Linked DNA regions of Arabidopsis thaliana. The protein of the gene in region 3 interacts with the protein of the main gene of each other region in a pairwise test. Each region holds a gene or a part of one and is shown on either strand. Other genes may lie near its edges. The genes, in order: AT1G27290, MAPR3, AT5G61570 and UBC34.

The links.
Region 1: the proteins of AT5G61570 (region 3) and AT1G27290 interact in a protein complementation assay, tested with the Arabidopsis thaliana proteins (one large-scale study listed by BioGRID).
Region 2: the proteins of AT5G61570 (region 3) and MAPR3 interact in a protein complementation assay, tested with the Arabidopsis thaliana proteins (one large-scale study listed by BioGRID).
Region 4: the proteins of AT5G61570 (region 3) and UBC34 interact in a protein complementation assay, tested with the Arabidopsis thaliana proteins (one large-scale study listed by BioGRID).

The regions. Positions count from the first base shown.
Region 1 is NC_003070.9:9,477,718-9,484,696, forward strand, and holds AT1G27290 (uncharacterized protein), read left to right. Parts: upstream 1-3,687; 5' UTR 3,688-4,070; coding exon 4,071-4,482; intron 4,483-4,842; coding exon 4,843-4,859; 3' UTR 4,860-5,275; downstream 5,276-6,979. Other genes in the region: AT1G27300 (uncharacterized protein), read left to right, coding at 5,607-5,747, 6,016-6,477; NTF2A (nuclear transport factor 2A), read right to left, coding at 6,898-6,969.
Region 2 is NC_003074.8:18,125,778-18,133,620, reverse strand, and holds MAPR3 (membrane-associated progesterone binding protein 3), read right to left. Parts: upstream 4,170-7,843; 5' UTR 3,953-4,169; coding exon 3,645-3,952; intron 2,662-3,644; coding exon 2,268-2,661; 3' UTR 2,029-2,267; downstream 1-2,028. Other genes in the region: AT3G48900 (single-stranded DNA endonuclease family protein), read right to left, coding at 11-70, 439-512, 608-680, 757-808, 949-1,076, 1,178-1,239, 1,453-1,610, 1,700-1,767; AT3G48880 (RNI-like superfamily protein), read right to left, coding at 4,613-5,177, 5,384-5,748; HSP93-III (Clp ATPase), read left to right, coding at 7,613-7,843.
Region 3 is NC_003076.8:24,755,032-24,763,047, reverse strand, and holds AT5G61570 (Protein kinase superfamily protein), read right to left. Parts: upstream 4,860-8,016; 5' UTR 4,542-4,859; coding exon 4,022-4,541; intron 3,413-4,021; coding exon 2,847-3,412; 3' UTR 2,259-2,846; downstream 1-2,258. Other genes in the region: PFK4 (phosphofructokinase 4), read right to left, coding at 1-95, 182-222, 297-426, 514-582, 662-715, 816-1,112, 1,191-1,253, 1,336-1,375 and 2 more; AT5G61560 (U-box domain-containing protein kinase family protein), read right to left, coding at 6,542-6,727, 6,820-7,608, 7,695-8,016.
Region 4 is NC_003070.9:5,915,300-5,924,593, forward strand, and holds UBC34 (ubiquitin-conjugating enzyme 34), read right to left. Parts: upstream 5,044-9,294; 5' UTR 4,680-5,043; intron 4,678-4,679; exon of another isoform or gene 3,899-4,677; 5' UTR 3,864-3,898; coding exon 3,807-3,863; intron 3,604-3,806; coding exon 3,549-3,603; intron 3,136-3,548; coding exon 3,097-3,135; intron 3,015-3,096; coding exon 2,951-3,014; intron 2,851-2,950; coding exon 2,789-2,850; intron 2,723-2,788; coding exon 2,665-2,722; intron 2,588-2,664; coding exon 2,560-2,587; intron 2,396-2,559; coding exon 2,304-2,395; intron 2,124-2,303; coding exon 1,847-2,123; 3' UTR 1,533-1,846; downstream 1-1,532. Other genes in the region: AT1G17285 (uncharacterized protein), read left to right, coding at 5,416-5,813, 5,919-5,988; AlaAT1 (alanine aminotransferas), read left to right, coding at 7,472-7,693, 8,293-8,343, 8,422-8,472, 8,561-8,626, 8,704-8,765, 8,852-8,930, 9,008-9,112, 9,201-9,294. UniProt on the Arabidopsis thaliana protein: Accepts the ubiquitin from the E1 complex and catalyzes its covalent attachment to other proteins.

The DNA.
Region 1 (6,979 bases), on a different chromosome or scaffold from region 3:
TTTTATTCAAACACAATTATCTCCTACACACCTCTTGAATACGTTTACTCTGATGTCTGGACTTCTCCAGTTACATCTGTCGACAACTTTAAATATTATTTAATCCTTGTTGATCATTATACCCGATATACATGGCTGTACCCATTGAAACAAAAATCACAAGTACGGGAGACTTTTGTGGCGTTCAAAGCTCTAGTGGAGAATCGTTTTCAAACCAAAATCCGAACATTATATTCTGACAACGGTGGAGAATTCATTGCGCTACGACAATTCCTGCTAACACACGGCATTTCACACTTGACCTCTCTTCCTCACACGCCGGAACACAATGGAATTGCAGAACGAAAACATCGTCACATCCTCGAAACCGGGTTAACTCTTCTCACTCAAGCCTCTATTCCAACTTCATATTGGACATATGCGTTTGGAACTGCGGTTTACCTCATAAATCGCTTGCCCAGTTCTGTGCTCAATAATGAATCGCCGTATTCGAAGCTCTTCAAGACTTCACCAAATTACCTCAAATTAAGAGTTTTTGGATGTTCGTGCTTCCCATGGCTCCGCCCATATACCAATCACAAATTGGAAAGAAGGTCACAGCCGTGTGTATTTCTCGGGTATTCCTTAACCCAAAGTGCATATTTATGCCTTGATAGAAGCTCTGGTCGTGTCTACACTTCAAGACATGTCCAGTTTGTTGAGGATCAATTTCCTTTTTCCATCTCCGATACCCATTCAGTTTCTAATTCAAGCCCAGAAGAAGCTTCCCCTTCATGTCACCAACCCCCATCTCGCATTCCGATTCAGTCATCATCTCCGCCACTCGTACAAGCTCCGTCGTCGCTGCCGCCCCTAAGCTCAGATTCTCACCGCCGGCCAAATGCTGAAACTTCATCGTCTTCGTCCTCGACGAATAATGATGTTGTGGTATCGAAAGATAACACACAAGTGGATAACAGGAATAATTTCATAGGCCCAACAAGCAGTTCTTCAGCCCAAAGCCAAAATAATTCTAATCCAAGCTCATCCATCCAAACCCAAAATGAGCCCAATCCGAGCCCGTCACCAACACCTCAAAATTCTAGCCCAGAATCTTCACCATCGTCTTCTACCTCCGCCACGTCCACAGTCCCAAATCCACCACCACCACCTCCGACAAACAACCACCCAATGCGAACCCGAGCTAAAAATCATATAACCAAGCCCAAAACGAAACTCTCCCTCCTAGCAAAAACAGTTCAAACCCGACCTCAAATACCAAACACGGTGAACCAGGCTTTACGAGATGAAAAATGGAGGAACGCTATGGGAGAAGAAATCAATGCCCAAATACGGAATAATACATTTGAATTGGTTCCACCAAAACCAAATCAAAATGTTATTTCCACAAAGTGGATTTTTACACTAAAATATCTTCCTAATGGTACTCTTGACAGGTATAAAGCAAGATTGGTGGCTCGAGGTTTTCGGCAGCAATATGGACTCCATTACTCTGAAACTTTCAGTCCTGTGGTTAAATCTCTCACAATTCGCCTAGTTCTACAATTGGCAGTGTCTCGCTCATGGACAATTAAACAACTAGACGTAAACAACGCTTTTCTTCAAGGTACATTGACGGATGAGGTGTACGTCACACAACCACCTGGTTTTATCGACCCCGATCGACCACACCACGTTTGTCGCCTTAAGAAGGCGCTTTATGGCCTGAAACAGGCTCCACGCGCTTGGTACCAAGAGTTGAGAAATTTTGTTTGCTCGTTGGGATTCACCAATTCTCTCGCTGATACATCAGTGTTTGTTTACATCAACGACATCCAAATCGTCTACTGCTTGGTCTATGTTGATGACATTATTGTCACGGGAAGTAGTGATGCGTTGGTAATGGCTTTCATCACCGCTCTTTCTCGGCGATTCTCGTTGAAGGACCCGACGGATTTGGTATATTTTCTTGGTATAGAGGCAACAAGAACCTCACAAGGTCTTCATTTGATGCAGCATAAATATGTTTATGACTTGTTGTCTAGGATGAAGATGTTAGATGCCAAACCGGTGTCCACACCAATGGCGACACATCCTAAACTTTCACTCTACTCTGGCATTGCTCTAGACGAACCCGGAGAATACAGGACAGTGATCGGCAGCTTGCAATACTTGGCGTTTACACGACCGGATATTGCGTATGCTGTGAATCGATTATCACAATTTATGCATCGTCCCACAGACATTCATTGGCAGGCTGCAAAACGCGTCCTTCGATATCTTGCGGGAACTGCTACTCATGGTATATTACTTCGCTCAAACTCTCCTCTCTCGCTTCATGCATTCTCCGATGCTGATTGGGCTGGGGACAATGACGATTTTGTTTCCACCAATGCATATATTGTGTATCTTGGCTCTACACCCATAGCTTGGAGCTCGAAGAAACAAAAGGGAGTCGCACGTTCTTCCACCGAGGCCGAGTACAGGGCTGTTGCAAACACAACTTCAGAAATTAGATGGGTATGCTCTCTTCTTACTGAGTTAGGCATCACATTACCAAAGATGCCTGTGATATATTGTGACAATGTTGGTGCCACATATCTCTCTGCAAATCCGGTTTTCCATTCAAGAATGAAGCATCTAGCATTGGACTATCATTTTATTCGCGACAATGTGAGTGCCGGTGCACTACGAGTCTCTCACATATCAACACATGACCAACTTGCCGATGCTCTAACCAAGCCATTGCCTCGTCAACACTTTCTTCAGTTTTCAAGCAAGATTGGAGTGAGCAAACTCCCTCCATCTTGAGGGGGCATGTAGAGTATATAAGTAAAGGATAGTTTAGTAAATCATTAATCCCTAATTCATTCTAATGTAGTCCCTATATATATTGTAATTATATCATCTAATGAATTATTCAGCCTTCAATACTATAGTTTGATCATGTGCTTACTTTCCCTTCATTTGCGATACTTCAAGGTTCTTGCTGCCACTGTTTCTTTGAATGCGTCACATGTTTGAACATGTGTGTTCTTTTTGGATCGAAGCTTAGCTCTTTAGATGGAACTGAATAAGTAAAAGAGGTCACTGGATAAGCTCTGTTACTAGAATAATAGGAGGGCTTCTGCTTCACATTTGTAATCCTCTCTCTTTCTCTGAATTGATGTTGCAATTGCTTGTCATCAGTATCTGTATTTCCATAGATAACTGAACTCATTAAAGGGCAACCGAAGCTGCTTCGTGGTTTATGTTTCTTCTTTGTGGGCTATTTTGCTTTGCACTTTCACTTGTTTCTTAGTTTTGGTTTGATTTTTCATACTGGGCCCTGAGCAAAACAATTTTAGTTATATGACTTGTGAAACTTAAATGGGTTTTAATCGAATGGTAACTTCATCTAATTTGTTTGAATAATTCATCATGGACCTTAATGATAATATCTTGAGTCTACTAATCATTTCACAAATCCTTTCATTTTCCAACAGCAAGTAGCCTGATTTTTGAACCTCAGCGATAGACAGCTTAAAGTGCGGTCATTCTCGCAAAAAGCTATCAGTCTTTATTTGATTCACGAACATTATACACGAAAGTCAAAATTAAATAACCAAAAAAATTAAACAAAAAGCAAACAAGAAAACGACTTCTCTGGTATGATTGGAACAAATTTAATAGAGAGAGAGGTTAGATAAGAATGTGGTAGAAGATAAGACCCAACTACGCGTCATAACTGGGTCCCATCTTTGTCTCTTTCCCTTCTTCACTCGCCAACCCCATCGCGTGTCCCCACGCTCCTTCCCTTTACTTTTTCTCGTTATCCAAAACACGACGATTCTTCATTTTAGATTTTTTTCATTAATAAAAAAAAAAAAGTCTTTTATTGCAGAAATTTCGATCGTTTTTGTTGTGTGTACAGAGAGATTATCGTGTTTTGTTGGCAATCGCCATTAAACCTTCTTCCCTCTAACCCAATCAAATTTGCGGCTCTTTCTTTTATCTTCTCGCCTCGGTTTTAGCAAACCCTTTAGTTATCTTCTTCCTCAAGCAATTTTTCTTTTGGATTAGATTGGTGTTTTCTTTTGGTTTGTGTGGTGATGATGAGAAGGCAACGAGATGAACAACAATCTAGGGTTTTCTACGATCTATCATCTCTTGTTTTGAATCTTCTCCGTTCTCCTCCTATGCCGATTTCTTTACCTGATCATTTCCCCGATCCGCCCGCTAGAATTCGTCCTCCCTTTTCTTCGCATCGTTTTTCGTCTTCTTCGCCTTCTTTGGCTCATATTTCTCCGTCTGGATTCGCGTCGTTGCTGCTTGGTATATCTGTGGCTCTTATGCTATGTGGATCTGTGACTTTCTTCATCGGGTTTCTCTTGATGCCTTGGGTTCTTGCTCTGATTTTGGTTTTCTATGTCGCTGGCATCGTTTCTGCCATTTCTATGGTCGGGAGGTCGATTCTCTGTTACGTCTTGACGCCACCTTCTCCTTCCGGAAAGGAGATTTCTGGTAATTTTGTTGAATTTTAGGGTTAAGTTTGTCAAATTGGTTTCAATGATTCAAGCTTTCTACTTTCGTCTCGGATCTGTTTAGATTTTAACCAAAGTTTCCTTATTGATCATCTAGAAATGATTCCACTGGGTTTTGGTTCTGTCCTTATTTTGATAGAAATGGAGGTTCGAATTAGGGTTTTATTGAAAAGCACACCGATGTTTGTTCTGTCTTTGACTGAAACGATATTGTTCTTTTGTTTCCTCGTGGATCATATTATTCATGTTCACATTACTTTTGTTGTCTGAAATTAAACCTATGTTTGTATTAGTTTCATGTTCTTGCAATAATGTTTGTGTTTGACATGTCTATTCGCAGAATGGAAGCTTCTGTGAAATGATTAAACAACAGAGGTGAAGAATCTATACATCATCCGGAAGCAGAGCAGAGCGAAGCAGAACAAAAAAAAGAAGAAGAAGGATTGATTATATAAACACATATATCCGATAGAGTTTTTCTATGTTCTTTATCTGTATTTTGTTGGGGGGGTTTGGGAAAATCATGTGGATATCAGGGAGTTTTATATTTCTTTACATTTCGAAAAAAGAATTTTTCTATTTAACTACTGTTAGAAATAGAGAAGCCTTGTTATTTGTGCTTTCATGTATGTCGTTTTTATGTAACATGATCATTTCTTAAAGCATACAAAAAGATTTTAGGATTTCTGTTGCACTTCTTTCGATTTCCTTGCATTTTCGAAACACTCTGTGTTGATATCTCTTCCTTTAAATCTTCTTACAATATTTGCTCATTCTTGATCTCTTTTATGGTTTTAAATAATTGTCTCTTCAAGTTCACACGGAATCTAGTGTGAATCGAGGTTTAGTCGTGCAGAGTTGTGTGTGTTATTACATGTTTTATTATTGTTTAAGTATATTTATTTAGTGGAGGACTATACGCTATTTGCACATCTCAATGTCAAATTGCTCAAAAATGGTAGAGGTGCCGTGCCGTCAATAGATGTCACGTGTCCTGACTTGCCTTCTCAATACAAACAAAAATACTCTCTACCTAAAAAAACACAATAAACAACAAACGCATCTTTGGAGCGGCGGTGAGATTAGAGAAGAAGGGTTTGTGAAATGGAGTCCAGTGAGGATGTGGAGAATCTGAGTAGAGCTATTGAGAAGCTTCTTCATGAGAAGAGGAAGAGAGAAGCTTCTGGTGACGCCTTCATTGAAGACGCTGATGATCAGCTTTTCCTCTCTAGCCTTATCTCTCAGGTACTTTACCATCGCTCTGTTTTCTCCTTTGTTGATTTATCTGATGTTGCAGCCAATCAACTTTCTGGGTATATGATTGAATCATGAGTATTTGAGTGAGTCTGTGTAATTGTTTCGCTGTGATGTGTCTGCTTCGATTTTGATGAGATCCAACAAATACAAGCTTATCTTCATGATTGTGTTTAGTTGCTGTTTCATGTCCACAACATTATTTGTATTGGGATGTGTCCATTTCAGGCTTGTGCTAATTTTTTTGCCAATAACTTAGTTGGAATCACCAAACCCCAAGGGGAAAGAAGATGTCATAACCGGAGAAGAAGAAGAAAAAGAAGAAGAATCTGCAGATTCTTCACCATCCAAAGGAAAAAGCGAGGGCCAGAGACAATTGGAAGAAAGTATAGAAGAAATAGCTAAAGACATCAAGAAGGTGAAGAAGCAGAACAAAATAACCCATGTACTTCTCTCGGCTACGATCATCCTGACATTGGTTTGGCAGCTCTCTGAGTACTCCATGATTTTCATGTTGAAAGATAGAATAAGCCACCCAGTCAGATCCATCGGAGGTATGCTTAATGGAATGTTCAAAGGTAAGTTACGTCCAATCAAGAACCAACTTGCGGGGACTTCCAACTCCAATGACCAAAACAACCATGGGAATGGATCACACACTGGACCTCAACTTCAAGTGCCCGAGCTGTTGCGAGAATTCGGTTTCGACGATGAAGAATGATAGCTTCCCTTTGTGACTCAATAATACCAGTTGTTATTTAGGAACAGGGGTCACCCTCATTGTTTCTTTGCTTTTAGTATAAGTAGTTTACTTTTATATGATCAAAATGCGAAAGAATAGTTGCTTTCTCAAACTTTTCCACATGAAAAAGGGTTCCAAAAGAGAACCGTATTTCAAAAAATCTTTTGTTTTACCCTTACTGAATCATGGTTCAGTGCCCGAAAACAAAAGGAGTCATCTCAAACAAAGTAACAAATAGCTCCATTGATTAAAATAAAAACAGACAGCAAACCACCTGAAACAAAGCTTAATGTTCCAAATCTAAAACCAACTCAAACAGTTTTTGAATAGTCCCAAACTTTCCACCACTCTCTTTTCAGCTTCCAATAATGGTTCCATGTACCTCTGGCATCAAATTCCTCAGGCATAGTTCAACCTGAATATGTCATTGAACACGTAGTAGTTTCCCTGATTCGATATCAAATGGAACATCTGGACACAA
Region 2 (7,843 bases), on a different chromosome or scaffold from region 3:
ATCTACACACCTGTCGAAGACCACGAACTCCCTGAGAGTAGTCACTGCCAAGCAAAAGCGCTAGAGCTATCTGTAACATCACCCAAGAAAACATTGTATACATGACCTTACCATTTGATGAAACATAGCTAAGATTTTAAAGTTCTTTGACGCATGGAATAATAGTCAACACTCAACAATGTGTAGCTGGTTTTCTTGTCTACTGATGCTAACAAAGGAATTGAGCCCTTAAAGCTACAACGTTGCAGTAGAACCATTCATACACATAGTATCTATCTCACCTGAGTTTATAAAATATCAAAGGCCACCTTTTGCAAGCATTGCATTCATGCTTCTACCAATCTAATCATTTTATAATAACGTGGTGCAGCTTTATAGAAACGAAAGATCAGGGTTAAGTATATAAAGCTAATCACTTAAAGAGGTTTGTTAATTTACCAATGAGTTCCGTCCAAGCCCAAGCTTTTTCTTGATGTCATCCATCTCGTAGCAAACAACATAACCTCCTTCACCTAGTTCATTGGCAAATTTATTAGGACTTATAATACTATTAACCATATCAGACGGTAAAAGAAACCAACACACTAAAGAGTCTCTTTCCACTGACCAAGGCATATTTCTCTGTATACAGTCTTTGCACCAAAAAGGAAGATATCCGAATCAAAGCTAAAACAGGCGTCCTATGGATGATCATTGAATATTGGGTTAACAGCATGACGAACAAGAAACTGATTAAAGCTGAAAAATGCGTCTTACACATAAGGATTCCGAGTTTAGCAGAGCGCATTGCGCCTCAGCCTCCTCAATCCTGCATTTGATGGAAAATACAGAACAGAATCAGTTTCTCATAAGCAAAGTTAAACATTCAAACCAAAGTCTCATAAGCAAAGTTAAACACTCAAACCAAAGTCTCATTGTCAATCTAAGCTAACTGTCTTGAAGCCCTACCCGTCTAAACAAAGTATCCCTAGTGTTGATGCAATAACTTTCGCCTCTTTTATGATGCACGAGAACTCAGACCCCATATTTCTTTTGAGTGAAGTCTCTTTGCTAGGCTCAACACCATCGTCAGCGATCTGGCTGAACCAATATAGCACGAAATCGAAAAAAACAATCCAAAAACTAGCCATCATATGCAAGGATGAAACCACAAGTGCCACATTTGACATCATTGTACCTCGAATCTTGCTTTTAACCGACGCTTGTAAGTTGGTACTTTGATTCCAGGAATTGCACCATCTACAATTACATGCCACATTCCAACAAGTCAAGTATGCTCAATAGCATTGAAAAAACTAAACTTTAGAGCAAAGCATCAATAAATAAGAACTGATTTGACCACTCATGCTTCTATTACTCAAATCAATTCACAATGACAACAATACAACACTACATAAACCCTAATTGGCTCTTCTGATGGCAATTTTCAACAGTAGGGTAGAATTAAATTACCTGAGACTAAAATGATGGAGCAGTTTAGGGCAATTAGGGCTCGGAGACGATGAAAAAATCCTCGAAGATAAACTTTTTCTTTAGTGGCGCAATAAGATTTGTTCACTTTATGCAATTCCACCATCCAACACGAAAGATCCACGCATACCCTTTTGTTTCTACAGCGATTACGAAGATCTCGTAAAGACTTGGTCTTTTTAAACACCCAGAAAAATTAAAGAGAAATTGAGACGAAGAAACAACTCACTGAAGATGATCGAGTGGGAAAGTCTTCTTACAAGGCTCCAAGACATCCCAAAGATACTTCACTCCCATAGCTTCACCTTCGAGATCGAGCGAGAGAGAGAGACAGAGACAGAAAGAGGGAAGAAAATGATTTGACAAGATATTTGAATTTTGAAAATTTGGTTCAATAATAATTCGAAACCGGTCGGTTTGAAGGTTCCAAACCGAAACCAAAATTATTGCAAATTCTTCACTTCGGTTCGGCAACAGACCTACCATCAAATGTAAGTTGGTGCTTCGATTTTAGGAATTGAACCATCTTCAATTACCAGGCACATAGCAGGATGTCAAATATGAACTAAGCATAAACAACAAGTGAACAAACCCTGAATTATAGAACTGTTTATCGATTAATACTGTAGAAATAATGTATTTTGAAGCTTCCATAACCAGAATTAGATGTCATTATACAAGATCCAAAAAGTACACACAAGGTCACCATTTTTATTGAGCTATATACGACTCATACTTAAACCCTGAAAAATCTCACTAATTTCTCAAGAGAAACTGTGCCTCTCATTACATTGACTTTACTCCTTTGCAGCATCATCATCATCAGTTGCAACATCTTTCTTCTCCGTGGTTTCCGCGATTTTCTCGCCTGTGCTTCTAGAAGTTTCATCATGGGTAATTGCTGAAGCTTCTTCTCCAGTGTTTGTAGAAAGACCTTCCGCAGAGGCAGTCTTTGCTTCGGAAGGTTCTGAACTTTCTTTGCCTTCTCCATCCTTCTTTTGAATGGTTCCGACTTTGACATACTTGCTCATGAACTTGTACTCCCAGTCTTGTAACGCCTCTAGCTCAAATGCACCGAGACCTGAGATGTCTCCAGTCAAGTCTTGGTCCTCAAATGACATCTTTGCCAGAGCTCGGCTTGCATCTTTCCCTGCAAACAGAGCATATGGCCCACCTGGTCCATAAAACATCCTGCATAAAAAGAACAGATGGTCATGCAAATTAGCGACCAGTAAGAGTTAAGTAGAGTTTGAAGAATGAAAAACTACAGCTTGGCACATATGAATATGATTCATCTAGATATGTAGTACAGCTGATGAACTATGTACAAGAAAAAAACTAAAAGTTATGCATACATATACATCGACATGTATATGCGTTGATGAGTGTGTCTGTGTCTGTCGCCACTATGAACAAGCAAAACGGTATGATCACTGAAGTGATTATTTCATCTAGCACAAAACCTAATTACCACAACGAAGTTTTCGGTAACTGGAATGTAAAAGAACTGTCTAGTTGACAAGTCAGGGATCTAGACAACTGCAGCATGGTTACATACCAACAATGTTCGCCAAAACTTAATTTACAAACGTCATGGAACACAAATAGCAAGCAAATGTGGATAATTAATCAGTGAACGATCTCTTTCGCCACAATAGCAATATTAGAAGCCAAACCTTTGACGAGTTTGTACGTTATCAATCTCTACTAATCCAAGATGTAATCTAAATACAGGTTTTTCTAGTATAAGAAAAAGTAGAGATCTTTCCGATAACTTGAATACAATACAATTGTATCAGTGCTTCTAATGGTATTGTTCCAAGAAAAGAAGTGAAAAAACAAACACTAAGATGCAAAAAGCAATAAAAAGAGCATCATAAGATTATGAACAAAAAGGAGAGAATATTCATCAAAAAGATTTACTAAAAGTGTTCAGTTTTACAATAAAGAATCACTTAAACTAGAGTTCGAGCATCAGTAGATATACTAGAATCATAAGATAGATAGTAATTGGAAACTTCGGATTATAAATCAAACAGTCAACCATGATTAACTAACCTAAACCCCAAATCTCGAAACTATTGGGTTGAATCGTTTATTACTGGTAATTTAACTAGTGATCATTTGGATTCAATCATAATTTAATGAACAAGTAAAGATTTCACAAGAAATACCTGCTCTGAGAAACATCATAGATCTGGCCCTTGATCGCCATAAGAAGGGGCTTTTTAGAATCGGAGCCATCATAAAGCTTAAGCTCCTCCTCAGTGATTTCTCCGAGCTGAACCGGCGGTGGAAGAGGCTCCGATTGAGGCTGAACCTCCAAAGAACGAGGTCGGTGAACTTCAGGAGAAACGAAGAAACCGGAGACGACTTGGTAAACGGCGAAAGCGAGAGCAAGTACGGTGAAAAACGCAGCTGGAGAAAGTCCAGTGTAAGCTGTGATTGTTTCCTTCAACGTCTCCCATATTTGCTGAACCATGATTTGAGAAGCTATCGAGAAGCGAAAGAGAATGAGAGAGAAGAGTAACGTTTTGTGTTTTAATTTTCAGATTTATTTGCGATCGAATTAAAACATATATATAATATCTTCAATTTTTGGTATAAAATAAAATAAAATGGTCAAATTACGCAACAAGAATTTTAAACGATTTTGTTTAACAGTCGTCGTCCATAATGACCGTTGATGTCTGAAAAATATTTTCTTTTTGTTCGTGTGAAACATACATAGAAATTTTCTAAACGTTTTTAAGAATATATATCGTTACCTAACTAGTGGTGGCTGAGCTCGATAAAACGGTGTCGTTAATGCCGCCGGAGAAGACTGGTAGGTAAGAACTAAGAAGAATAAGATATAGACCAAAAAAAAAAGGTAGATGATTTGCAAAACAAATGTGACTAATAATGCTAATATCAAGACAAATAATTGTAACAATATTGTTTTATTTTCCTATTTGGTGTGCAAGGTTGGTGGTGATCAAAAGTTGATCACTACAGACATTCATTGGCATAGCCTACAGATATATACACATAATACGATTCAAATCAAAACAAACAACACAAAGAAATAAACAATTCAACAGTCAAAGATGAGAACAATAACAAGTTAAGTCCTTCACAGAGAATGATCACAGCAGAAACATCAAAGATGAAGAGAACTCACTTCATCAACCTTCCAGTCTCCTTCCTCATACTTGTACCATCTCACAATCCCTTCATCGTTTTCAGTCCTCTGACACATCACACACGTCTTGTGATCCATGCAAGTCAAGAATTTCTTTAGCCTTGCTGTTTTCTCCATTATCGTCTTATCGAGCTCTCTAACAATCACCTTCTGCTGAGGCTGCCAACCGCTGTACTCCACTAGGTGAGAGTGTGATATGTTGAGCACTTCAAGGCTTGGTAATCCGTCAAGGATTTTCATCAGTGCTTCCCGCTTTATCGCCGAGCATCTGATGCTGAGTGTTTTGATGTTTGGGAGGCAAGTGATGAGCGTGTTTGCAAAGAAGACCTCGAATGGACCCATGATCTTCAGCTCTTTAAAATTCTTGCAGTTCTTGGCAATTTCTGTTAAGAGATAAGGCGGGTTTGCGATGCTTGGCATTGTTAGTGACTCTAGATCTTTCCAGATTCTTATCGCTTTGCATATACCAGTCTTCTTTATTCTGTTCCAAGCCGGTAGGACGACCCGTCTCAACCCTGGACACCTGCAAAATATTCAGTACAACAAATTTTTCAACTTTTAGCATTTGCGAGATTCAGCTTAATTGTAATTCAGCAATTTTGACTGAAAGTGGGTACATGAACTTAACCAAACCAAAAACTGAACCAACTTTTGACTAAAAAACCATAGTTTACGGCCATGATGAAACAATTTGGAAGACAAATAAGTGGAAGAACGAAAAGGACATACCTTTCTGCGGTGTAAGTAAGCTGATCATCACTCAAGAACAAGTTGAAATGAAAAATCAAGGTCCTCGTGCTTCCTCCGCTAAGGTTCATGGAGAGTTTCAGGATGCGGGTTAGGGCCTCATCAGATCGGCGTTCCACATAGACATAAGGCTCTAATGGGATCTTGATGAAACTAGATCTCATGTTTGACAAATCCACCGTCTTCCAAAGAATCGGATCGCAACAAGCAGCTCTCCATCCTCTACAAACATGAGCTAATCCCGAAGTCAACTCAAAGACGCTAAACTTCTGGAAAATTCTTACTAAGATGTCAGTGTCCAACTCTTCCCATCTCCTCAATCGACGACTCTCATACTCTTCTTCCATTCTTGTTGTACCCTAAACAAGCATAAGAACGTTAATCAACTGTTGTTATCCACAAGAGCTTATAGAAATAGGAAAGAGCACAACTTTAAGAAGTAGGAAAAGAAACACACATCAGTTCTCTTATTCTCTCATAAATATGAAATTCTAATCAATCAATCCTCCCTGAATCCCTCAATTTCCATGATTCCATTTCCATCACAGGATTGATTGATTGCATCAATCAATGAGTTATTACTGCTATAAGTGAAATGAACTACAGAACCCAACTATGATAATGTTGGAGTTAAGTAATCAAAGTTTAAAGTCCCAAAGAGAAAGACTTTTCTTCCCTCAGGTAAACCAATACAAACACCAAAGCTAGATTATATTCTTACATGATCATCATAATCGATCTTCATCACTATTTATCAGAAAAAGGAAACACCAAACCTTAGAAAGGAAAACTTCCGTATCAGAATAGTTCAACAAGGAATTGAAACCAAACATAAAACCAATCTACAGAGGAATATATGCAAGACAAGTCAAGAGTCTCAAACTCTAGAGATTGTGGCCAAGTAATTGAAGATCAACCATTAAAACTCAGAAGAACATGAAAAGACATAGAATTTGACAAACCAGAAGACTAAAGATCGTAAAACTCACTAGGACAGAGAATTAAGCGAAATCTGATGTAAAGGAATCGAATTTCGAAAATCTAGAGGAATAAGATTGAAAACCCCCAAGACTCTGTCAACAAATCAATCTGATCTCTTCACATTCCCAAATCAGTCGAACTAAAAAACCGAAGAGACAGATCTCGAATCGCCATTTTCTCAATTCAGAATTGAACAAAGAATCAAACGAAACATAGACATGAATTAGATCATAAAGAAGAAGCTGAAACACGCAAAGGGGCACTGAGAGAAATGAAGAACCTACCTTTAGGAAGAGGCAAATCGTTTGGCGACGACGACACCGTTACAATCTGTCTCTAGCCAATGGAAGTAGATGATATGAATTTTTTTATGATAAATCGGTTTGGTTTTGGTTTGACGGAGTTTTCAGATTAAACCGGTCTTAAACTCAACACAAACCCTTATCTTTGGGAACAAGATTCTTATTGAGGTTGACTCTTTAAAAAGTAGTTAAATCCGACGGTGGAATACACTTATGAGTAATCTAACGGCTGGTATGCAACTTTGGTAGGTGAGTGTGTTTAATCTATGAAGGGCGGCGATGCGAGAGAAGATAAAGAGAGAGAGAATAGAGAAATCTCTTGTCTCTTGGGTATCTTCTTCTTCACTTTCCTATCTCTTTCCCAATAAAAGGAGTCTCTCGCTTTCTCCAACTTCGCTATCCAAAGGCGTCGACGGTATAAAACCCTTTTCTTTGCTACACATAAAACCCTTTTCTTTGCTACACTCACTCTCTTTCTCAGTCTGTTTTTATTTTTCATTTGTTGTTGTTGTGTTTCATTGAAGAAGCTTTTAGGTTTCTGCTTCTCTGTTGTGTGAGCTGTTTTAAAGGTTGAGTTTTTCTTTTCTTCTATTTCTCATGGCGTTTGGTTTCGTTTCTTTTGGTGGTTTCATTTTGAGTTTTCTGAATCTGGGTACTCTTTATTTGGTTTTATTGATATGCAAAAATGCTTACTTTGAGATTAGGGTTGTGTATTCGCGTTTCGATTTGTTCAAAGATGATTGCTTGTTTTGCTTTGGAGAGTTTGGAGATAAGAAACATAGCTCAAGCTTTTGTGACATTGTTCTGCTCTTAGTTGGTGAATTGAAATTGTGTATTTTTGTGCCTGAGCTCTTTCTGTATACGTGTTTAAGAGAATTAGCAATACTGATGTTCTACCATTACCCAATGCAGCCTCCAACATTGCATCATGGCTTGGTCGATAGCTCTTCTTACACCTCCTTTTTTTGGTCCCGGAAGGCATGTGCAGGCCAAAGAATACAGGGAACCAAGAGGGTGTGTGATGAAGATGAGCAGTTTAAAAGCACCTGTTCTGAGAATTCAGGCCACAGAATACAGAGAACCAAGAGGGCGTGTGAAGATGATGTCCAGTTTACAAGCACCTCTTCTGACAATTCAGAGCTTCTCAGGGTTAAGGGCC
Region 3 (8,016 bases):
ATGTGCCTATTCTCTTTGAGTCGTTCTTCAATAAACTCAAAGAGCCCACCCTTTCCTTCAAGAAAAAATGGAGACTCTGGAATCAAGCAACAATCCTGTCACATTTCAAAGCTCCCATTGTTATACACCACAAATAAAGAAAGTTTATAGTGACAATTTAACAATCAAACTAATCTATTACCACATCACGATTCGCTAAAGTTGCAATCATGGCAATAAAACCTGCAGAATTTGTACCACAAGTTAACTTCGTATTCACAAAAGAAAGTAATCAACATATGTCACAGAATATTTACCACTGTATCTGCCCATGAGTTTAACGATACCAACTCCATTTTCCACGCTCTCGACCTCTACATGTGCAGCATTAATAGCTCGTTGTGCTTCCTCAACCGCCGTATCAAAGCCAAATGATTTGTCAATCACCTAGAACAATGGATGAAGAAGATGTATAAGAAACTCCACATGAGAGAAAAGTAGACCTTAAGTTGAAAATTATCAATGGGTATTTACAGCAATATCATTATCAATTGTCTTAGGAATGCCAGAAACCGCCACTTGAAGACCACGCCTCTCAACTTCCTTCACAAAATATGAAGCAAGTATCAGTAGAATTACTAATGCTACATTCAGCATTCAGTAATATGTGATATGAAATAACCTCGTATATCTTCTCTGCACCCTTTTGCGTCCCACCACCTCCAATAATATATACCTGACATACACATTGACAAAATATTAGGATGGCTCAGCTTCAATACAAACTAAACTACATAAAAATTATGGACAAAATGGAAATCAGTTATGTTAGCTACCTGATTTATTCCTCTATCTTGAATATTATCAACAATCTTCGCTGTATCATGTCCTCCTCTTGAGGTTTGAAGAAAAGTGCCACCGCGTTTATGAATATCGTTAACTACTTTAGGTGTCAGGTTCATAGTGTTTTTGGAGTAAAAGCCTCTATATCCTCCCTGAATGCCGAGAATGTTATTAACACCATACATATTGTTCAATCCACATACAATTTCCCGTATAACAGTATTGATTCCAGGGCACAAGCCCCCACAAGTCACTATGCAAGCTTTTACTTCATCTGATCTGAAGTACACCTGTATAACCAAAAACTTAACAGGTTTCAGTTGCGAAAAATCTCACAAAAGTTTAACACTTTAAAGAAGAAATCATACTCTTTCTCGAGGCCCTGCTCGCCTAAAGTGTACTCCTCGCTTACTTCCCTTCTGGACTACAATCTAAAAATGAGGGAGCTTTGAGAGCAAGTAAACACCCGCAAATCGAAAAAAAAAAGCTTAGAAAAAAACACATCAAGCTTACATTTTGCGCAACCACATCTTCGGAACTGACAAAAGTTCGCCTACAGAAACCATATGAACAATACATTACAACCCTCAAAGGTATTTATGAGTTTAGTGACTTTGCCATGTAGAAATTTGAACTTACTTAACAATGGCATATGCTTGGCTTTCTTTCAATGGATTTGGATATGACTGTGATGTCAGAAACAAAATCATCAATTAGGGAAGTAACATCAACCCAACAGAAAAGTTAATACTTTTAGATGGAAAAACTCATAACTTGACAAAGATATTAACACATGACAGAAACAGCGAAGAATCGAATACCGGTAAATCAGGGAGAAATTTGGTCAAGTGAGGAACGTCTTCTAGGACAAACCCATCGTCTTCCTCTGGTTTGAATCCATCAGAGCACTGAGCTCTGATGAGTCGTTTCTGGTGCAAGATTCGAGGCAGCACTGAAACTTTCTTCAATTTCAAAGCAGGAAGAGGGAAATCTCTACGAGGAAGGACGTTTGAAGAAGGGTTAAACAAGGAAATATTGGGTTTTGTTGACCCCAGAAACGAAATCGAAGCTTCCATGAGTATGGAGTACAAATCCGAATCTGTGGGATTGAAAGATTTTTAGAATCTCTCTGTGGAATTCAATTCATAGGAGAGAGAGAGATCACCAAAACGAAGAAGACTAGGCTTGTTCAATCCGGATTAAACCGATCAATTCCGGTTCAAATCAAACTTAACGGAAAAAAGAATAAACCGATTTGAAAAAGAAGGAGTATAACACCATGACGTTCGTAATAAGAATTATAACACTCCGTGCCGTTTAAATCTGGTACTTTTTTCAGTGTGTTTTAGTTCGGTAGTTGTTGTTGAATATTTTCCCGGGAAAATCCACAAGTTTTGCTCTGGGGATCAATACCATCCCCAGAAGGATAATATATACAAAACACTGAATGTATTGATGGAGAAAAGTGCAGCGTAAAAAGTGTAGAATCTGTGGTTATAACAAACACCACAAGATTAGTTCATGATACTTTGCTTAAAACTGCAAAGTTCTCCTTCAAGAACAAGAACCATATATATATAGAGAAAGAAAGAGAGAGAGAGCCTCTTGGAGATTTCAGGTATACAACTCAAGAATCATATCTGCACAGACCGAGCAAGGCTATAAAGATACAACTGCAAAGACAATTTACATTCAAAAAGATGATGTTCTATGATTACTAGAGGCCTTACAAAGTTCTTCGAGTCTCTTGTTGGCTCTTTTCTCAGTTATTCTCCAATAACTCTGTTCTAAAAGTCCTTCCTAAGCAAAACCTTGATCCATCTTCAGTTACTTCTGTAGATAATCAGACTAACTACTTCTCTGTGAACTTCCACAAGCTAGAACTTGTTATATGTATTGTATCATCCTATGAAGACTCTCTTATCCGCCCTACGCATTGAATCAATCTTGCAAAAAGGTTTCTGATTGTTTGAATCTTTCTCTTCCTATGTCTCTTCCACAAATTAGTCAAGTTTGCTAATGCATCATTTCCTGATCTCTTCAAGCTTCCTCAATACTTGCTTGAAGCTCGGCCTAAGAGTAGGCGATGGAGAGCAACAAGACATTGCAAGCTGAAAGTACTCGAGGACACACTCTTCGGTCACACCATTTCCATCCTTCAGACATCTCCTAATAATCTCAGGACGGTACAAATCCGACAACCTATTACGATCAAGTACAGATCCCGTTGGATTCTTGTTTGTCGGCTCTTTACCAGAGACTAACTCAAGCATGATCACACCGAAACTATATACATCACTCTCCTTGCTTACTTCCTTCATCTTGATCAACTCAGGCGCTTTGTAACCCTCTGCAGCTGAAGCTTCTAGAACCTCTTGCCCAGCTGCAAGGTTCAAAAGCAAATGCAAGCCGAAATCAGAGACTCTAGGCCTAAAACTCTTGTCTAGTAGAACATTTTTCGACTTCAGATTTCCGTGAACAATCGGTTTCTGCATTCCTGTATGGAGATGATCAAGAGCTTTTGCTATTCCAATGGTGATACTCAAAATGTTGCTCCATTTGTGTGCGTCAACATCTCCACCTGCCAAAACTATGCTCTGTTTTTAAGACAACCTATTGAATATTGATTAGAAAAATTAATGCTGATGTTGATGCTCTACAGATTTTAAAGGAACGAGATCTATAAAGATTTTGTCTTATATAATGAGCAAACTAAGTGGGAAGTGACAAAAAAAAGTAGTTACCGACAAAAGTTAGATCAATAATGGTGATCCTAGAACAAAATAAACAAACTTACTTTTTTGTTTGTCAGAGATAAAAAAAAACAATTCCATGTTACGATTTATGAAAATGTAAAAGATAAGACGATTTCTTATGGATCGACTACAGTTACCAATATGATTCCATCTGACGAAGAAATCTTCGATATAGATATTTCAAAAACAGAGACATCTTATATAGGTAACGATAAGTGCGTTAAAAACTTTTTACCATTTACCCGGGAAAACGAGAACTCAAGACTCTGTTTGTTTCCCAGAAAACAAGAATCTAGGAGATTCCACGAATCAAGACAGCTAAAAAGAGAACTCAAGACATCTCTTTTGGTCCGAAAATTAAAAAAGTTTGTTCCTTTTAATCTTTTTCAGCTTCCTCGCATTTTCTCGAGAGAAAAAAAACAGAGTAGAAAACAGAGACTTACATTTGATGAACGCAGAAAGATTCCCGGAACTACCGAAGAAGGGATGAATCATAAGCTTCTCTCCTCTGTTGCCAACGTAAAACCCTAACAGAGGAACGAGATTATCATGTCGAACAAACCCAAGTGACTCAATGACGCCATTAAACTCCTTAGAATCTGAATTCACAGCACATAAAGGTCGAAGGAACCTAAGAACTCTAACTTTCCCACTTCTTTGTAACGTCGCTTTGTATAATGTACCGTAGCTTGATTTTCCGATGACTTCTCCTGGAGCATCGAGTATATCGCAGATCGTTAGATCTTCTCCACCGTTGAAGATGATAAGCTCCTCCTCTGTTTCGGATCCGTTATCGGAAAATTCTTGTTTCTCGTAAGGAGATTCGACGTCGTATTGAACTTCATTGGTCTCTGTTGTTGTTCTTCTACAGAAGATGAAGATTATGATGATGGCGATCATGATCAAGAATGTTGTTGGTAGAGATACTGCAAGTATCAGTTTTACCAAATGGGATTTTCTCATCTCATGGAATAGTGTTGGATTTTTTGGTTTTTCTTTTGTAGACAAGGAAATTGGATTTTGAGTATTAAGCAAGAGATTTAAAGTTGGAATCTTTAGGTGTGAGAATACAAAATGGAATAAGAAAAAGTGTATGAATAATTGAAACTTTATTTGTTTACAGTAGAGATACAGAGAGATGTGTAGATGGTATGTGATGGAGATGAAGTAAATGATATAGAGAGATCTGAAACATGTTTTAATTAGTTGTATCAATGTGGACTTATGAGTTGTTTTTGTTCGCTATTATTGAAAACTTGTGTGTTTTTATTCCCCTGCCAAGTTCTCAACCAATTGTATAAGTTTATGACCTACTGGTATAAACCAAATTGTATAGGTCAATTTATTGGAACGACTATTTTAACTTTGTCATATTAGAATTAGATTTTGGCATTGTACTGTGAAAACGTATTAAAATTTTGTTTCTGTTTTTGGTACGAAATCACCTCCCAAAAAAAAATGTTAGGAATGCTAATCAATCTTATAAAGGATGTATTTTTCTTGTGAAAACTACCTAACTACTCTTTACTAGACATTGCCTTTTAACTTTTTATGGAACCTTCTTTCTAGTTTAAGGAAATGAGAAATTAACACTTAGACTTAATGGAACCTTCTTAATAGTTTCCACATCATTTAAGAGCCAATAACAGAACTATTACGTCCAAAGTATACAAAAATTAGCCACAACAAAAGAAAGGTTAGTGTAGAGTTTCAATTAGAGAAAATCTTGATTATAATGACAAAATTATACTCCGACGTCGAATGGTCCTTTGATAGCCCCACCAATCACCATACGTATCAAATAAGGTGGTGGGGGGACCTTCATGTCACTCCCCTTTCAACAACCACAACTCAATTGCAACTTTTGTTTACTAAATTTTTTTAGAGATTTTTTACTTTGTTGTTTTATTTTTCTATTTGTATTGCATAATTTCCATTCTGATATTTAATCACTTCATATTAGGATAAAGTTCTTTTTCCCTATGTGTGCATGTGTGCAAACTAAACGACATATAGAATATAAATTATTGCAATGATTCTCTTACATAGTTACATATACTGTTTGTTGTTATAATGTAATTCTTATTACTTCTATGTTTTGAACATCGTTTGGTTTAGACATAATTCATAATTGACGTATAGTTCGAACTTATTAACGTATATTTGTTTACCTTTGTTAAAGTTTCTTCGTTTGTAACTAATACTATATGAAAAAAGGATAAAGGAAAAAGAAAACTCTATCATTCCAGGTAGATAAGTGCATGATAGAATGTGTGAACAATGCTCAAATGTTATTTTTGTAAATTCAGTATTCGTTTGGCTAGCCCATTTATTATTCTATAACCATATTTATGTCTTTCATAGCTATATCATATAGAACCCACACAATTTAATGGCCTAGGTGTCAGATCTCATCTCATGTATACTAAGTTACTAACCTAGTTAACAATTGCATATATTCAACAAAATCCAACATGACAAAACATACCATTTTAATATTTTAGACTTTTTTCACTAAGAAACCGATAGATGTTAGAGAAACAAACAAAAATACAAAATAGTAAATGATATGGGTATCTTCGTAGTATAAACGATAGGCCAACTTTTACGATACTATCTCATGTTTGATAATAAAATCATACACAACTAAAAGATTTTTAAAAAACGAAGAGTTTTCATATTCATATTGGATTGGATTCATATATGTTTTTCGTTAGTATTGATATGTATACTTTTATAAGAAAATACGACACAACAAAAATCAACACTATTATATTCTTCTTGCAAATATGCAGTCAAAACCTATAATACAATCAAACAAATAAGGTAAAAAAAATTTACACACAAAAGCTCGAATATTTCATCAACGTTTGTGCGCAAGAATGGTATGACAAAACAAAAACCACAACGATTCATGTTAATTGACGAATTTAGCCGTATAAATTTAAGAACCTTTAATTAATTTATTTAATTAGTTGTGATCTCCACTCCTTGATTGCAGAAAGAAGAGAATGATTAGGAAGAAGAGAATCACTAGGAAAGGGCAAATCCGTCATTGGAGATTTATGATTCTTCTGAAGCCATTCCTTAATCGCTCTCTTCTCATACGTATATCCATCCGAAGCAACACATGGATTCTCCATCACATCCTAATTTCATCAATGACCCCATAAACCAAATCAAAACACATAACGTATCAAAAATCTGACATAAAATGTAAGATTTTCGTATCATTCATTACCTTTGTTATTGGACAGTAGAAATGGGTCGGAGCGTTATGGTGATGATCAATTAGGTTATCAGCAAACATGTTCCTTGCGATAGACGCAACTTCCTTTAACCGTTCAAGAACCGGCAAAATCTCTTTCCCTAAATCAGGACGATCACGCTTTCTCATCTCTGCACATCTAAGCCCTATCATAACCATCTCTTTAGCTTCCTTAACCGGCCAATCTCCAGCAGTTTTATCCAAGATCTCTGTAAATTTCCCGGTTTGATCTCTCAACGCTTTCTCTATCGAATGAGCCAAACCCATCGCGGATCTAGCTGTGACTAGCTGAAGAAGTATGATTCCAAACGCGTAGATATCAGATTCGGGAGTTACCACTCCGGTTCTTTGGTATTCAGGATCTATGTAGAAGAATGTTCCAACTGGACCGGTTTCGTTGAAAACCGTTGAGGCATGAGAAGGATCAAGATTAACCATTTTGGAAAGGCCTACGTCTCCGATTTTGCTCACATTGTTCCGGTCTAGGAGGATATTGGCTGGTTTAAGATCGCGGTGAACGATTGGTCTTGGTTCGTTTGTGTGGAGAAAGTAGAGTGCTGAAGCGATCTCCCAAGCGATTCGGAACCGCTCGAACCACCGTAATGGCGGCGGTTGCGGTGTGTCAACGTTTGGTCGGCGTTTCATGAGTCTTTCCTCAAGGCTTCCGTTGTGCATATACTCGTAAACTAAGCTTCCGCGTTCAGGACACGCGCCTAGGAGGAGAAGCAAGTGTGGATGACGAATCTTGCTAAGAATCTCAAGCTGAACAAGTATCAAAGAGAACGCCATCGTTTTAGGAGAACAGTAATTTTGCTTGGAGGTTTAAGAAGTGAAGAATGTTTATTTACCTCTTGGTGAAACTGTTTGGTTAAACTACTTTTGTCTGAATGAAGAACCTTGACAGCTACTGTCGTGTGATGCAAGTTACACCTATATACGCTTCCGTAACCACCGACTCCGATCTTAAGTTCATCCGAGAAAGATGACGTCGCCTCGACGATCTCTTCCCACTCAAATTTCATGTATTGTTGGCGTTGAAGCGGTCCACCTTCAAGTGCATCCTCTAACCTCTGCTTCTCTTTTCTAACCTCTTCCGCTCTTGCTTCCGCCTCAAGTCTCTCTTCGGTTTCTCTCTCAATGCATTCTCTCACGAGCTCAGCTTCGTTTTCC
Region 4 (9,294 bases), on a different chromosome or scaffold from region 3:
CTCGTGGAACATGATAAGCTAGTCTCATGTTTGTTTTTGTTGTTTGAACTTGTCTTTATGACATATGTTTAGTCTCGGTTTGTTTTTGTTGTTTGAACTTGTCTTTATGACATAATCTAAGTCTTTTTACTTATTGTTGTTTGCACTTGTCTCTCTATATGATTAGCTTAGTCTCAGTTTTAAGAAGTTGACCTTTTCTTTCAAATGAAATTCATTACCATTACCAAAGCTACATGTCATTACATAGTAAAAGCATAACCAAACACAAACTAAACAACAAAGACCAACAACAAGAGAAACAACAAAGACATCACATTCAAACTAAGCTCCCATTCGATTACACACTAATAACCAAGAACAAATTTCTGGGTTTTTTTCTTATAGAACATTGATATTACAATTGCAATCACACTAAAACAAAGGCACACCAAGCACACTTTCGTCATCTTTTTCCATCTCTGAATTTCTCTTTTGCTCCACATTCCATCTTCTTTCAACTCTATCATTAGCTCCTTTAAGTTTGCAATTTCAACAGCAACCTCAGCTTTTGCATTGATTATCTCGTTATCAATGCTGGAGATTTTGGGTAGAGCATCTATAACCTCTTCATACATACAATCCTCCACCCATTTGAACAAATGATCCTGCAATTCCATCTCAAGCTTTTATCGACCAAACACAAAAAACATCACATTCTCATATCAAATCTACTTACATCTTCACAGCTTTTGCACCGAAAGAAAGGCCTTCCAGGGTTCTTAGCCGTGCTCGATGTAAACATGACGACGTCGAGCCCACATTTACACTTAACAGGAAACCCACGGCTCTTGAAACCTCCAGCTTCAGCATTCGAAATCATTCCTGAATTGCAGCCTCCACTTTCACCACTCGAATTCCTTGAGTTGCAGCTCATAATGCAGATTTGATCGAAAAATTTGAGAGAAAATGATTTTTAGGGTTTGGGTTTTGATTTGGGGATTTTTCAGAGGTTTCGTCGACTTTGAAGTCTGTTGATAGCACAAAACGTCGTCGTATCACCTTAACGGATGTTCTGTAACGTCTGTCAATTACGCTGTTAGAAGGAATTTTAACGGTGGTTAATTAGGCCGAGTCAACGCAAACTTGAATGTTAAAACAGAAGTCAACTTTTTGTTGAAAGTTAAAACGGCCATTTCACGAGTTCACGGTTAATTTGACCATTTTTTGTAAGTTGAGGTATTAAATAACATTTTTCCCACTAAATTATAGAGTTAACATTATTAACCATAAACATAATCACTTTCACTGGACTGGACTCGAGCAGAAGAAGAAGATTGGTAACAAGTCAACGTCGGTGGTTGAAGACAGATTGAACCGGTACAGCCATACCGGTTTTAATTTATCATTAAGTATGGTTTTTTCCTTTTCTTACCAATGGGCCTAAAGGGACAATTGCTTAATTGGCCCAATATACCTAACAATTCTATTCACTATTGTCTGTGTATTCTCTCTGTCACTTCTGTTTTCATCAAGTTACTACACCAGAGTATTTACATAAATTGACAAATTAACCTGTGAGCTCTAGGAGAAGTACAATTTGAAAACCATACGGTTCTATTTTTCAAATCCAAACCATTATCCTCAATTCATATATACTATACAAAGTAGTTCCAACGAAGCTACAATATGTATGTAATTGTGAAACCAAACTTATGTTATCTGCTTTTACAAGCACAAACCATGAGGTGCTAAATGAGTAAATTCAGACGAAGAGCACTAGACAAAAGGAGACTACTCTTGATGCTGAAGAGAGAGAGACACAAGGAGAGATTATACGAAAACCAGGTCGAGGTTTGTTGCATAGAAATCACAGTTGAAGCAGAGGCAACGCCATTACCACACCGAAAACCGACACTAGCAACAGTATTATCCACGCTGGCAATCCCTGTTTATTGTTCTTTTTCCTCTCCTTCAAGCCACCTTCTGAATCTCCCTTTGTTGGATCGATGGTTTTCTCTGACTCGACTTTGGTATCGCTCTTTTGAGGAGACTCTGGTGTTGTCAGTTGTGTGGTAGCTTGCTCAGCTAGTTGCTGCTGGTTGTACTTCTCTACATACTCTGGAAATAGCTTTCGAAATGCTGGGCTGTCACAAGTAAGAACATTGGATTCAGGTGAAATACCGAAAACATGTAATCTCAGGACTGCATTCATTCCTATATTCGTTATCTAACCAGCTTTTATGACTATCCTAACCACAGATAACTAAACTTAGCTTCTATATGAATCCAGAATTTGAAATTTTTTGATGATGGGAAAATCTTACGTTTTACAATTGAAAGCGAGAGATGACTTAGCCAACCGTTGTTTCTCAATTACAGTAGTGTTAACACTTCCAGTTGTCGGACTGGTATCCATCTGCGCCGCAAGGAAAACGTTTAGAGAAAGCTTGAGAACAGAAAAGAAAAAATAGACTTCCTTTTTGAATATTCATATCTAAGCTAATAAACCATTACAATATAAGAATATGAGAATTTTCAAACAAGATGTCCATAAATATGTAGAACCTACAGTGAGCTTACCATAAATGAGAGAAGTCCTGTAAGTATGCTGCATTCATGAAAAAAAGTTGGTTATCAACGGGTATATCGATTGTCATCTTCCAAAAGTAAAGAAAGAATCTATACCTTGATACAGACCACATCGGATTCCAGCTTTCTGGATGAACTGTAAATGCCATGTCAACTTATTTCGATATTAGACAAGTTAATTGATACGAAATAATGAACAGAAAGTGCAGATTGTCCTTACAATCACTCATAGATAAACAAATTTTCTTCTGTGTCATGAATCGACCATTTGGTGTAGTCATTCTGAGGCAAACAGAAAAAGATTTGGTTCATTAAAAAACTGGACAAAAAATGAGGTAAGAGTAATGTTGAGACTGAATTTGGAGGAACCATTGGAACATACGTAATCCCTGGTGGCTTGTAAGGATACTCGGGAGGAAACTTGATCTTTCCATAGTAAAATCCACCTGGTAAAGAGAATTTTAGTATCAAAAATAAGATACTGCGTAAGACAACACTAACAAGAAACTTTCAAAAGAAGATTTTCACCTGCAAAAGGTGTTCCCTCACTGCCTTCCAGCACATAATCTGTAAGATTAATCCAATAGTTTAACTCTATTTTAGTAAGAGATCAAGCTACCCTTTTTAACATACTAAATGCAGTAATAATAGAAAGACTGAAACTCCCTAACCGCTATCAGGCTAACAGTAACACTGACAGCCTTTCACAATTGAGAAGAAAACTATCAAATCTATGCATTGTAAGTACATATAAACCTTTGATAAATAAGTCTTCACTATTCCATCAAAGTAATGTGAGACCTCTTCTGTCTACTTAGATCGTAGTATCCCATTTTTTCTTAGTTTAACGTATACTCACAAGTGTAGCAAATATGTCCATCATATATACTTATCATAACATCTTTATAGAAACGCTTGCAACAGGATTACAGGAAGCCAGCAGGAATAAAGATTAAGAAAAAAAGATAGGGAAGGCTTACGCCACTCGAGAATGTCATTTGGGGAAGGACGAGCAACAACATGGGAGACTGGTTCCTAAAGGCCAAAAACAGAACATATTAAATAACCCCCAAAGAAACAAAAGAAAATATGAAACTTACTCTAAACCAAAACCAAGAAAACATTCACATATAGATACAGCATCATTTGAAAGTACAGAGAAAACTGGTTGAGCAATAAAAATATGGAATCCTGGTTCCAGCTCGAGAGAGGTAGAAAAACAAGTAAAGAGAGTGTACCTTGCAAAGTGCTCTATATTCCTTTTGAAGACGTTTTATACAGGCCTTTTCTGCCATCTACGTGCTATGGACGAAGTGAATAGCTGCAGCAGCTGTTACACCCATTTAACATTATCAACAAAACGAAATACAAATATGAGTGAAAGTCCACCTACTGATGAGATGGACTACATAAAACCCTTATGTCTGAATTACATATATGAACTACATAAAAACATATATCGAAACGAGTAAATTGCAGTTGATTTTCGTGCCATTGATATGGAAACTTTACCAATTGTACTATCTCACAACACATATACAGAGATAACAATACTTCTAGCTATTATGCAATACTTTCATGACCTGATTGAAAAGAAAAACCAACCAAATACACACAAGATCAAATGAAACTTGAGTCAAACAACTCTATGATCACCAGAAACACCCTTTGAATAAAAATCCCCAATTTCCATGAGCTTGGAAAAATCTTTTCACCCAAATCACTGCAAACCAATTGAAAGCAACGAAAATTCAATCGAATTCCAACCAAATTAAAGGAAATTATCTGGAAATCCCTGGAATTATATATCAACCTAGAAAATCCTTTGATTGAACCGAGAAAATTGCAACAATGATAGGCAAACCAAACTCGAATCAGCTGCAATATCTTCCATAAATATATAAGAAAATCACAGATACTTCCACATAAACCGTATCAAAGCAAAGTCTTAAACTTGTTAGAGATTCCAATTGCAATTTCAAGCTTCGCTCTTACCCAGAAACGCAAAGGAACAAGAACAACAAATCAAAAGATAATGCAGCGAAGAAATTCCAAAGTAGATAACATCAGATCCAAGAAATAATTGCGAAAATATGAAAGAAATTGATCACCTGAATCGAATTTTGTCGATGAAGATTTTCTCTCTTGGGGTTTCTCGTTAATCTCACTTTCTCCTTCTCCGCGGGTAGAGAGAGAAAGAATTAGCCTAACTCGCGCTTGGTTTATCTAAACCGAACAAAATTCAACACAAGTTAGACCGGTATTGTATAATCCATTCCGGTTCGTTATTAGAGGATCAATGATTTAATAATTATTTTGCGTAATGCACTTTTCCCTATTTCTTTATTCTCCACCACTCATCAAAGAATCTGTGCCGGTTCTTGGAATCAATTTTTCCTTCTCTTCATGAAATATAAAAAAAATAGCTGCAGAAGAAGAAAAAAAACTAGTGATTAGTAGTGAGACAAAACAGCTGTTACCTGCAATTTTTTCTTTTCTGAAATTGGACTTACACTAATACCTCCAAATTCCAAAGTTATGCTTAAAAAATAATTTCAATAAAGTTAAGTTTCAGCCTCTTTTGAGTTCCCCGATAACAGTAGGCAGAAATCACGTGCTCTAATCACATGACCACCATCTCTTAGTTTCAAAGCAGTTACATGAGTTAGGTAATGTGAATATGTGGATCTTTGTCTCTACATATGATATTGTATCATTGTTTCAATGTAGATGCTTGAGGAATATCATCATCATCGTAAGTAAATGATTAAGAATAAGATAAGTATCTCACCATCTGATTAAATAGCATTAGTCAAAGTAAGATCACGTGATCAGATCCCAATAACTATGTGTTCAAACACACATAAATCTTATTCTATAAAACCAACAAGCTTTAGAAGTCTCTCGTCTCTCTTTTCTCTAACACACATCTCCATCCAAGATTTTCTCAGTTCACAGAAAAACAGAACAAGAAAAAGTCAAGAGGTTTCAAGAGTCCTAAAGGAAATTTCAAGAAGAGAACTCAGAATGAAGAGATGCTGTTCAGTGGCTCTGGTTCTGTTACTTGTAGCTTTCTTTAGCAGCAAGTATAGTGTAGAAGGACGTTCTCTGTTAACGATGACACATTCGAGTCAAGCTGTGAGAGATTTGCCTGTAAGCAAGGAGATGAAGAAAGAGCCACTTAAGGGAGAAAATGATAGCTTCAGAAGAATCCCAAGGAGTGGCTCAAACCCTATACAGAACAAGTAAAGAAGATACGAGACACAATCTAGTTTTTCTTTTTTTTTATGTATCCCCAAAGATGAGTTTTAGGTGTAATTGACATCAAAAAGTGTTTCTTTTTGTATCAGGTGTAATCCACCGGTAGATGTTAAAGCAAGTAGGAAACAACAGCAGATCACAACATCAAGAAAACCTTAAAATTCCAGTTCTTTTTTTGTCCTTATTTAGATCCTCTACTTTCGTTTTTTTTGTAGAATAGGTACCTAGACATGTGTGCTTTTAATGCTGTAATCTACTTGAAATATATGAACTCATCTTTTAATCTTATTGATCGATCAAGATAGGATGAAAATTTAAAACGCCTCCTAGCTCGAGTAGTCTAACTTTCCAAAACTATTCTCAACCTCTTTAATCTTTTGAGTTCTTCTTCTTTTCTCTGCTTTGTGGTTTCTTTTATTTGACTTCAGCAGACTTATCCTCAGCCATAGCATGTTGTTCTCAGTGGTGCTTAAAACCTTAAATATAAAATGATCAACCTCTTTATCTATGTTCTCGGTTCTATATGCTTCAAAAATGCATCCTCAGATCCGTAAAAAATTGAAAGTTGTTCTGCAGGAAACCTCACAATATCCTGACTATTTAGCTGCCTATCTCGATATCCAGTGATTACTCCTCACTGCAAAACAGCAACAATGAAAGAAGTAATCACAGCTGTGAGCACTAGATTCCTTTTGACATGTAAGTTTGTACTTCTCTAAAACACCGATACAGATTGTTGAGATTGTTTACAAACTTTTGGACCAAGAAGAAACAAAGTGGCATCCAACACATTACTCAAAAATGACGTCGTTTTGCTGATCCCATGTATAATAATATTACTGTTATTAGGAAACGCTGAGAAAACCGCCGCCAAAATGACGTCGTTTTGCTGATCCCATGTATAATATGATGAATTTTTCCCACGAACCGGTTGGGCCGGAAGAGAGTCTCTAAACCGTAACTCGGCCCATAATGGCCAAATTTTGTCCAATTTCTAACAGCGTTTTACGCGCCGACTCCGACCAATAAAACACATGGTTTTGTCTGAATAATCCACGATCCAGAAGTTCTTTATCTCCAATTAATTGTTCATTATTATTATTAGTACCAAACTAAATTAAAAAGAAGAAGAAAAAACCACCTTCATTTATTACGACCTCTCTTTAGACAAATTTTTTGACTAAGAAAATATCATAAACGGCTAAAAGACTCGAGATTACGGATTATGGATTGAAAACACACAAAACAAAACAAAACAATAATAATAATCTCATTCCTTTGTTTGAAATTAAAAAAAAATCTCATTTACGTTTATTACATTCTTTTTTTAGATTGATTTTTCGTTGAAAAGATAAATATATAGATGGCTTTTGACAGAGTATTTGGTAAGAAAGAAAAAAAGAAAGACATTCAATATTCGTTGAAAAGGGTTTAAAGAAATCCGTTGAAAATAAAGGAAAACAAGATAAATTCTAAATCCGTGGACGGACAAAAAAATGTCAAAATCAGTGTGAATTGGAGAGAGAGAGAAGACAGGAATTGGGAAGTTTCGTCTTTCGAGCAAAACTATCGAAATCTAAATTTAGATTGAGAAACAAGCCAACAAGCTTTTTAGTATAAATCCCATACCACACAATCACAAATGCGGAGATTCGTGATTGGCCAAGCTAAAAATCTCATAGATCAGAGTCGTCGTCGTCAACTTCATCATCACAAAAATCTCAGCTTTGTCTCTCTTATTCCTCCTTTTTCTGCTCCTTCCGATTCTTCATCGCGCCACTTGTCTTCTTCTTCTTCTTCCGATATGTCTGCTTCTGATTCCTCTTCCTCTCTTCCCGTTACTCTTGACACCATCAACCCCAAGGTCCGTTTTTTTCTTAATTTTTCCTTTATTCTCGCCTTTTTGGGTTGCTGTTTGTTAGTGATTTGTGTTCTGTGTTTTGGATTATGTTTCCTCGATTGATCTGTGTCTTTTTGCAAGCTTTGATTTTGTTTTATACTCCGATGAAATTTTGTGATTTATGATTTGGTAAAGTGAAGAGCTTCGTTTAATTTCTTCGAGATTGCTCTGTACTTGATTTAGGGTTTATTGATCACCTGCTTGTGTTCTTTTTGGGCATCATGTTTCGAGTTTATGCATATTATGATTCGTATCCTCGTCTCCGCATCTTGATCATTGACCCTTGATGGATTTATTTCTTTTACGTATTATATTACTAGGTGATCCTTTGTTTATAGGACTATTTAGAATCCATTTTGTTCTTCAGCTTTTTGCGTATATTAAAAAAGTCTGTTGCTTTCTGAATTCTTCATTTTTGTTCTTCCTTGTGATTAGCTCATACTTTACAATTGAATAGTTTATTGTCGAGGAACAGTTCTGCATCTTAAATCTAGCTTTAGTGACTGATGTTTTGTTTGGTTTTTTTTATTCTAACAATATGGTTTCTTTTTGGGGGTTCTCAGGTTATCAAATGTGAGTATGCTGTCCGTGGAGAAATTGTCAACATTGCTCAGGTTAACATCTTTGTCCTTGATTGTATATTTCTAGTGGAGACTGTTTTGCTCATTTTGATTTCTGTTTCCATCTTACAGAAATTGCAAGAAGATTTGAAGACTAACAAGGACGCTTATCCCTTTGATGAGGTACGTTATAATCGGTTTAGTCCTTTTCGTGTTTTCAAGCTTGATTCTTTTCATGAGTGAAGCTTACAAGGTTCTATGTTTTTGGCAGATTATCTACTGTAATATCGGGAATCCTCAATCTCTTGGTCAACAGCCTATAACATTCTTCAGAGAGGTAAATAAGTGAGCTTTTATAGTGCTGGTTTGTTCCATATGTTAATCATGAGTTAGCTTGTAACATTTATATCTCAGGTTCTTGCTTTATGTTCCTACACAGCCCTGTTGGATGAGAGTGCAACACACGGTTTGTTCAGGTATCAAAAGTGGTTTATATGTTTCTTAGTTGTTTTGATTCTGTGGTGTAAGATTTTTTAACATTCAACTTTACAAATTTTATCAGTTCTGATTCGATTGAGCGTGCTTGGAAGATTCTGGACCAAATTCCCGGGAGAGCGACTGGTGCTTACAGCCACAGCCAGGTTTGTGGCATTGTGAATCTTGACAGCATTTCTCTCTCAATGATGATTCCCTCTCTTAATCTTCCGTTCTTCCTCAGGGTATCAAGGGGTTACGTGATGCAATTGCTGATGGAATCGAAGCCCGTGATGGTTTCCCTGCTGATCCTAATGATATATTCATGACAGATGGTGCAAGTCCAGGGGTAAGGATTATCAAACTAATCTTCTCGTAACTCGTAGAATCTGGAACACCTTGTTTTGAAGTTGACAGTGATGTTCCTCTCCTTCTAGGTTCATATGATGATGCAACTTCTCATAACTTCAGAGAAAGATGGAATCCTTTGTCCTATTCCTCAGTATCCATTGTACTCAGCTTCAATTGCCC